2 linked regions of the Canis lupus familiaris genome follow. The protein of the gene in region 2 purifies or fractionates together with the protein of the main gene of each other region. This does not show direct contact. Links are inferred from orthologs where the notes say so. Each region holds a gene or a part of one and is shown on either strand. Other genes may lie near its edges.

Evidence for each region.
Region 1: the proteins of MAP3K1 (region 2) and DCAF7 purify together in Homo sapiens (affinity purification with mass spectrometry; 3 studies listed by BioGRID and IntAct, with this or other methods). This does not show direct contact. The link is inferred for Canis lupus familiaris from reciprocal best matches to the Homo sapiens genes MAP3K1 and DCAF7.

Annotation. Positions count from the first base shown.
Region 1 is NC_049230.1:15,336,390-15,340,040, forward strand, and holds part of DCAF7 (DDB1- and CUL4-associated factor 7), read right to left. Parts: intron 2,131-3,651; coding exon 1,958-2,130; 3' UTR 1-1,957. UniProt on the Homo sapiens protein: Involved in craniofacial development. Acts upstream of the EDN1 pathway and is required for formation of the upper jaw equivalent, the palatoquadrate. The activity required for EDN1 pathway function differs between the first and second arches.
Region 2 is NC_049223.1:43,166,175-43,169,995, reverse strand, and holds part of MAP3K1 (mitogen-activated protein kinase kinase kinase 1), read right to left. Parts: exon of another isoform or gene 3,680-3,821; intron 2,976-3,679; coding exon 2,884-2,975; intron 2,850-2,883; exon of another isoform or gene 2,735-2,849; intron 2,221-2,734; coding exon 2,031-2,220; intron 1,707-2,030; coding exon 428-1,706; intron 65-427; coding exon 1-64. UniProt on the Homo sapiens protein: Component of a protein kinase signal transduction cascade. Activates the ERK and JNK kinase pathways by phosphorylation of MAP2K1 and MAP2K4. May phosphorylate the MAPK8/JNK1 kinase.

The sequences.
Region 1 (3,651 bases), on a different chromosome or scaffold from region 2:
CTGACCTCCATTTCAGACTGCTTTCCAGGGGAAGAACCTAATGGCCTCCTAGAGCGACCAACCATCAATTTAGACTTGCCACCCTTAAGAGAAGGACCCTCAAACCACCAATACAATTACAAGCAGAGGAGGGTTCTAACCAAGAACTGCTCACTTTACACTGCTGAACGACACAGTGCAACTGTGGTAGTAAATGCAGGAAAGTCAACCTCAAGTGGATGACCAGCTAAAGAGCCTCAAAATCAGAATAAGAAAGTGAAAAAGTAGAAGGGAGAATACACTAAGAAGAGAGCCTTTTTCTTTGGACAGGTGCCTGTGTAGTAAAGCAAAGAACTGTAACTTTGCAGATAAAAATACATCTGCTCTGGAAAAGGAGACTCAGCCAAGAGTTTAAGGGCCCAGGAGAACAAAATTGTTATGTTTCTCAAGAGCAGATGAGAACCCAAGTGGACAAAACCACCAGCCTCAAGGTCTGCTATTCTCCTACCTAACAGCTGCACAGTCCAGAGGGGCTCAAAACCCTATGGCAGAATGCGACAGACCAAAGTCCCCCAAGACTCTAAGCATGTCCCAAACCCTGCCAGCCCAAAGACTCATCTACCACTGGAATCACACACAAGCCCCCTGTGTGAAACTCATTCATGTAACGGAAACAGACACTGCAGCCTGCAAGTCCAATACTGCTCAGAGCCTAATAATGGGGGCCGGGGGGAGGTGGTTGACAGGTGTGCAATGATTGGCTGGCCCTATAGCTATCTATATACTTGATGGCCTGGGATTATCGCAGCCCATCAGGCCACTCCTTCCAGGAGCTGACAGTCCCCCACACTCTCAAGGAGATCTTGTTCAGAATCAGACAAACAGACTACAAGTCTCTCAAGCAGGACTCTCTCACTCAAAGAGCGGTCAACCATCAGTCATAGTAAACTAACCAAACAGAGATACTAAGGTTCAGCGTACAGATTGTGCTTGCCTATCATTCAAGACATGAAAGTAAATGGCCTGGGGATTACACCCAGAGGGAAAAACAGACTCGGAAATGATGTACTGGAAATACACTCTGAGCTCAGCTTTTCTGAAGCTATTCCCTCCAAGTCAGGCACGCTGTCTCTCTCAACTCTAACACATGCCCTGTAGGTCCTGGTGGGGTCGAACAAAGGTGCTTCAGGAAGGAACCGGAGGCTTCACGTGTCTGTTTTGGAGCCCAGAATGCCCTTGAGAAGAGCCAGGCTGAGAAAAAGTGAGAAGACTGGCCCACTTCAGAGCACCAAGGCGGTCTGGGACTCCTGGTCAGGTATGTTGCACTCAGGCAGTGATTCAAGAAGGCAAACTGCTCATGGGGTCGAGAGCCCAGTGCTAGATCCAGGCACTGAGGGCAGAGAGGAAGTGCTAATGGGGTGGAATAGGAGACAAACAAAGAAACCAGGAAGAGTAAAATTCTTTTCATAAAAAAATTAGCCTGATAGGTAAAAAATATACAAAGTTGAAATTTGTTAAAGACATTGATAATAGGAAGAAAGACAACTCCAGATTGGTATTTGTTCCCACTTAAGTACTGACATGACATGGACACAAGATTGCTGCCTTGGGCAGCAGACAGGTAAGAGACATCTGGGGCAGATGAATACAAACATAGCCGGTGCCTGCAATGCTTATTAACACAACAGCTGACAAACAAATATACATAAAATTTTAATGGAGGAACCAAAGGAGAAGAGAAAAGGAGAGAAAATCTTAAAACTCAGCCCTGGGCTGAGGAGGTGCCACACAGCACTGAGCCTGGCACAGACAGTGATGGGATGACTGACCAGGAACTCCTAGAGCAGCTTCTGGTAACAGTGGTGCAAAGCAATGAGAGACATACTGGCCACCAGAAACACGTTTCTTCTTACTTTGGGGATGGGGCAGAGGCAGGAAACACACAAGCCCCCGCCTCGTGGGCAAGGCGCTGCCAACGCTACACTCTGAGTATCTCCAGGCAGTTGTTATAGCAGATGGCAATCCAGTCGGGCTGAGTCGATGCCCATTGCACGTTGTTGATCTCTCCTTCAGCTGTATAGGCCAGGATAGGGTCCTCGATGGCCCGGGGCATTTGCTGGATGTCCCAAATGAGAGCCTGGTGATCATCCGCTAATGACAGAGAAAGCCAACAGCAAGGTCACAACTCAGACAAGGAGGGGAATTCAGGGTGGGTGGGGGGATTGTAGCTTATAAAACATTTGTTCCCAAGATCCCGCTGAGGGAGGTTTTATTTCAAGTCCCCATTTTATAGATGAAGAAACTGAGACTCAGAAATGTTAAGGCACTTTCCCCAAGCCACAGGGCTATCTATGCATGCAGCCAGTGAATGGCAGAGCCAGGACATAGAGCAAGGCCTCTGAGGTGTCCCAAAGCTCCAGTCACTGCCACAGAGCTAGGCCCACGGAGGGACCTAGATGGGTGCCTCTCACCTGGGGCAGGTATCAGGAAAGGACGATGGGATAAAAGTGATCCCCAAACATGTCATTTGCAGCCACTCAAACTACTTGAGCAATTAAAGATCCCTGTCTGATGATTCAACCTAATGGGATTTTACCCCATTTTATGGAGTTTTATACTTCAGTGAGGTGTTACACAGATGATATGAAGTGCGAGTGGACATGTGCTATTAAAAACAATTTTCCTCAGAAAAGCTACCTTCTTTGCCTGGGAAATACTGGAAAGAAGGTAATTGCCTTAAAAAAAATACATAAACACACGAAAAAGGACTAGAAGAAAATACACCAAAATGAGCACAGTGGTACCATGAGAATGGCAAAGTTATATTTACTTTCTTCTAGTTAGTAAGTTCTGTAAGGTTGTCATTTACTTATATAATCAGAACAATAAGTTCTTAATTTAAGGGAAGAAGAATAAAAAGGCAGTGACCTTCAATACCACATTATGCCCTGATCTCATCAGCCCATCCTGATGTGAAAACCCGTCTCTGATACACAGGAGAGCTGAGGAGCATAAGAGGCCAGGCTCATGTGGGTAACACTAGCCTCCTGCCACGGCCATGTAACCCGGGCGAGGTACACGATGCCCTTCTGAGGGACCACTTCTGTCAGGAGCTATGTGGAGCTGTTTGAAACGTTCAGTGCCTCTAGAGCACTGAAGTCCTTCTCAGTAACACACTCAACCAAGCCCACTCCTCAGCCACGGCTCCTTCATCTGCAGGGACTCAACCCAGGCAAAGGCAGCCACCAGGAGCAGAAGATGGGCTTCTGGTGAGGGCACTGGTACTGTTCTCCATGGACAGGGGTTAATACCATCCTTTCTTCCTCCTCCCACCTTCCCCTACCCATACCCCTGGTGGGAAAAGAGGCAATAATGAAGGGGTCGGACCACAACCTGAAGTGCAGAGGAAGGCAGAAGGCCCTAAGTGACATACAGGAGTGAGCAGAGGGTCCAAAACACAAAAGTTTCATGCCTTTCAAATTAATATGAAATAGCAGAAAACCAACAAACTACTCTGCTCTTTTGGCTCCATCATGAACAAGGAAATGAGGATGCTACTGATTAGCGAGGAGGGGAAAAAGTATGTTAGAAAGAAACCTGAGGCAGTGAAAATGAAAACATGAGGAGAATATTCTGGGGTGAGAGCGGAATCCCGTCTGTGTGAAATAAAGG
Region 2 (3,821 bases):
GCCATTCAGTGTCTTCTCTGTAAGGTTGTTTTGCTTTGGTATGTCCTGGTAGAGTTTCCGGTGTCTACATATTAAATGAAAGCAATCTTTTTACTGTTAAGTTAAAAGAGGAAGAGTTTGTAAAATTAGTCTGGCAAAGTATTATTCTTGTTCAGTCTGGCTTCCCAAACCACCTATAAAGTTCTGAAGGGACAGTGCTGGTGACCAGTGTCAAAAGCAGAAGTGATCACCATTACAGAATCAATCAGAAATGCCTTTGAAATAGGCAAGTAGTGTTTGTGGTAAAGCAACGATACAAAACTGTCGTATAATTCCATGTGAAAAACTGCTTCTAATGATTAACTCATGTGAAAAGCATCATTTCTGAATTAGATTTCTTTTAGCTTGCTCCAAGGAAATTCTCTAATCTCTTCAAGACTATACTTACATCCTGTTGAATAATGATGATATCTTCTCCATTTTCAACCTGTAGTTGAGGAACTATGGGGAGGGCATCCTGAGACGCTGACATTGCCATGGCAATTGCTAAAGCTTCTTCTTCTTCAGCTTCCATCTTTTCTTTGCATTTCTGATTATGATTCACATCATCTTTGTAGGTATCATCATTTTCATCCTTTTCAGGAGAGAGGACAGCAACTTCTGACTTAAAAGTTACTGTCGTGTCACTTGAAGGCATGGATGCTTCAAGAAGGTCCTCAATACTGGAGTTGAGTTCTGTGTTGACATCTAACCTGCATTTCTCTTCTACTGGGGTGAACACTGTCTCATCACTGGGTATAAGAGCATTACTACTATTGCTGCTGCTGCCAAAGCTGTCATCACATTTGGAAGTACTGTTCAGATCAAGTGTCATGCTATTCTTTGAGGCATCTCCCTGTTTACTTGTATTACCTGGGGTAGGTCGAGATGGCTTTGGCCTGTGTATGTTACTAGAGGGCAGGGGTCTTGATTGAGTAAAAATGGGGGAAAGTTTATCTGAGTCTCTGTTTTCGGAACAGTTTCTCTGGAACTGTAGAGAAAACTTGCGCTGTGTTTGAGGAGATGCAGAAGGTATTTTGCAGGGAGTGAATCCCTGAGGTCTATGCTTAGAGACATCTGTTCCAGTGCCAGGTGGTGCAGATGGGGCAGATGAAGGAGGAGTTGACAAGGGTGGAAACATTAACGGGGAATGATGAGATAAAGGAGAGGAGTTCAAACACTGACTGTGCGGTCTGCCTTTTGTTTGAACCATTGGCTTTGGTTGCTCCATTGTTGAACTGGGAAGTCCTACGGAAATGCTGCCCAGTCTGTCAGTAATGTCCTCTGAATTGGCACTCAGTTTTGTAGCACACAGTCCTTTTCCAGTTTTCTCTAAATGGTCTGTACGCTCAAGGGGGCTGTTCTCTGTGGCTTCTGGATAGCTGGTGGGGACGGATGCCTGCAAAAAGCTGTCATGTCGATCATCCAAAGTGTCTCCTATGCCCAGATGGATGGCCTCAGCGATTTCCACCTCATCTGCAATAGCCATCAAACGACGACGCATCCTGGTAAAATGAGTGGAACTGGAAACATTCAGCATTTCTAATAGTTTTGAAAATACGTGGGGTACTGCAGTAACCATTCTTGCAGAACTCAAATATATCCTTCGGGAGAGTTTACCAACCATTGAGTGGGAATTATCAATGGACTGCAAAGCAAAGGTTAAGAGGGACAGCAGCTTTTTATACCTGAAAGAAAAAAAGACACATTCAATTACTAGACAAGTCAAAATTACTGCAAAATGTACGCACATACAAAGAAGGTACTACTTTAAAGCGTATACATTTAAAAATGTCATTTCAGAACAAAGGATTGATAATTTTTTGTGGAGGATCTATAAATTTGTAATTAGCCTAGACTTGAGGTTTTTATGTCAATTGAAGATTAAGGTATTAGTAACTTACATATGCTCTGTAGTTTGAGTCTTTCATAAATCTAATGTGTCTTTCTTAGGGGGTAGGGATGGGGCAGGAAGGAAGAACAAAGTAATCTATTTGCAGAAGAAAAATTACCTGACTTCAACAGGCTCAGCTTGTGAAACATCAGTACTGACAATATGAGGGTAAAATTCAGCAGGAAATTCCAACAGCAGTCTGTCTACAAGACAAAGGCGGCCCAGAAGTTCTTGCCAGTTGTTTGACTCAGTTTGGTTTCCAAGAATACAACTTAAGACGTAATCCACGCCACCAATACCAATGGATCCTATGAAAAGGAAAGTAAAAATAACTGAAAAACCGTGATATTAAGATCTAAAACAGGGACGCCTGGGTGGCTCAGCAGTTGAGCACCTGCCTTCGGCCCAGGGTATGATCCTGGAGTCCCAGGATCAAGTCCTGCATCGGGCTCCCTGCATGGAGCCTGCTTCTCTCTCTGCGTCTCTCATGAATAAATAAATAAAATCTAAAACAAAACATCAAAAGAGCATAATGCCAAGAATAATATTCTAATTACATTTATTTTAAGATTTCCTTAGGAGCGCCTGGGTGGTTCAGTCAGTTAAGCATCCTACTCTTGATTTCGGCTCAGGTCATGGTCTCAGGGTCCTGGGATCAAGCCCTGTGTTTGGCTCTGCACTCAGTGGGGAGTCTGCTCCCTCTCCTGCTGCCCTTCCCTCTATATGCATGTACACACATGTGCGCACGTGCCCCCCCCCCCCCAGATTAAATGAATCTTTTAAAAAAGAATTTCTTTGGTTAATTCATATTTCTATTGTTAGGTGACTAAATCCATTTACACAATTACTCCAAAGTCCTGTATACAACTGCCCTATCAGAGATTAAAGGATTGCCCTATCAGAGATTAAAGGATTCGATAGTCAGCTAAGGAAAATGGTAAGACCTGCTATATTAAGTAAAAAGTTATTACCAGCTTTAAGTATTTCTCTGCCAACTGCCAACTCTCCTGCTTGGCCTTTGCATAATTCCAACAGTGTTGATATAGACAGCTGACTTGTACGACTAAAAATGAAAGAAGCAACGTCAGATTTGGATCTTGGATAAAATACACATTAAAAGGACAATACTAATGTGATGCTATGTGTAAAAGTGGGAAAAAAAGTTTCCACAGGTATTTGTTTTTCCACCACTCAAATTACATTAACAATGTCCCTACAAATAATTGTATTCATTATTTAGGGTCTAAATTTTATATAATTTTATAAAATTTTAAATAAATTTTATCTGTGATAAACACAGAATCTTTAGCAGTGGCTCTTAGAGAACAAATACTGATATCAAAATAAACCAGATGAAAGGCATATTTTGATTAATTCATTTAAAATAAAAAAGGCTCATTTTAATTTCTGAATTTTCAGTAAGAGTCTCTTACATTAAAAACAAAACCTTCCCATCCAAAACTTTATATTCTCTTAAATAGCCAGAGTGAGTTCCAAATACTTTAAAATCTCTTTCTCTGTTTTTTATAATGTTCCGTCATTGAAGTGACCAGGTAAACAACCTAATTTTAGCATTCCAGAAAGCCCACAATACAACAAATGTCACAAAAGCAGTGATGTTCTCAGAAAAATATGTACTCTAATACTGAAAAACTATAATTTTTCTATGCATCTTACAAATTATTTGATAATTTGCTTAATGTTGTTCAGGTATTATAGTATTCTCTCTAAATAAGATAATTTCTAATACTTTCAATCCATCCATAGGCTTGAGTAGAGAAAACAGTGGAGACAAACTTCATGAAATGAGAAGTCAAATCTAAGCACCTAGGTTTTGAGACTGGCTACACACCTACAATGTACATCGTGTGACTGAGCAAGTTCCAAATGAATGTAATGGCAGGGGCAC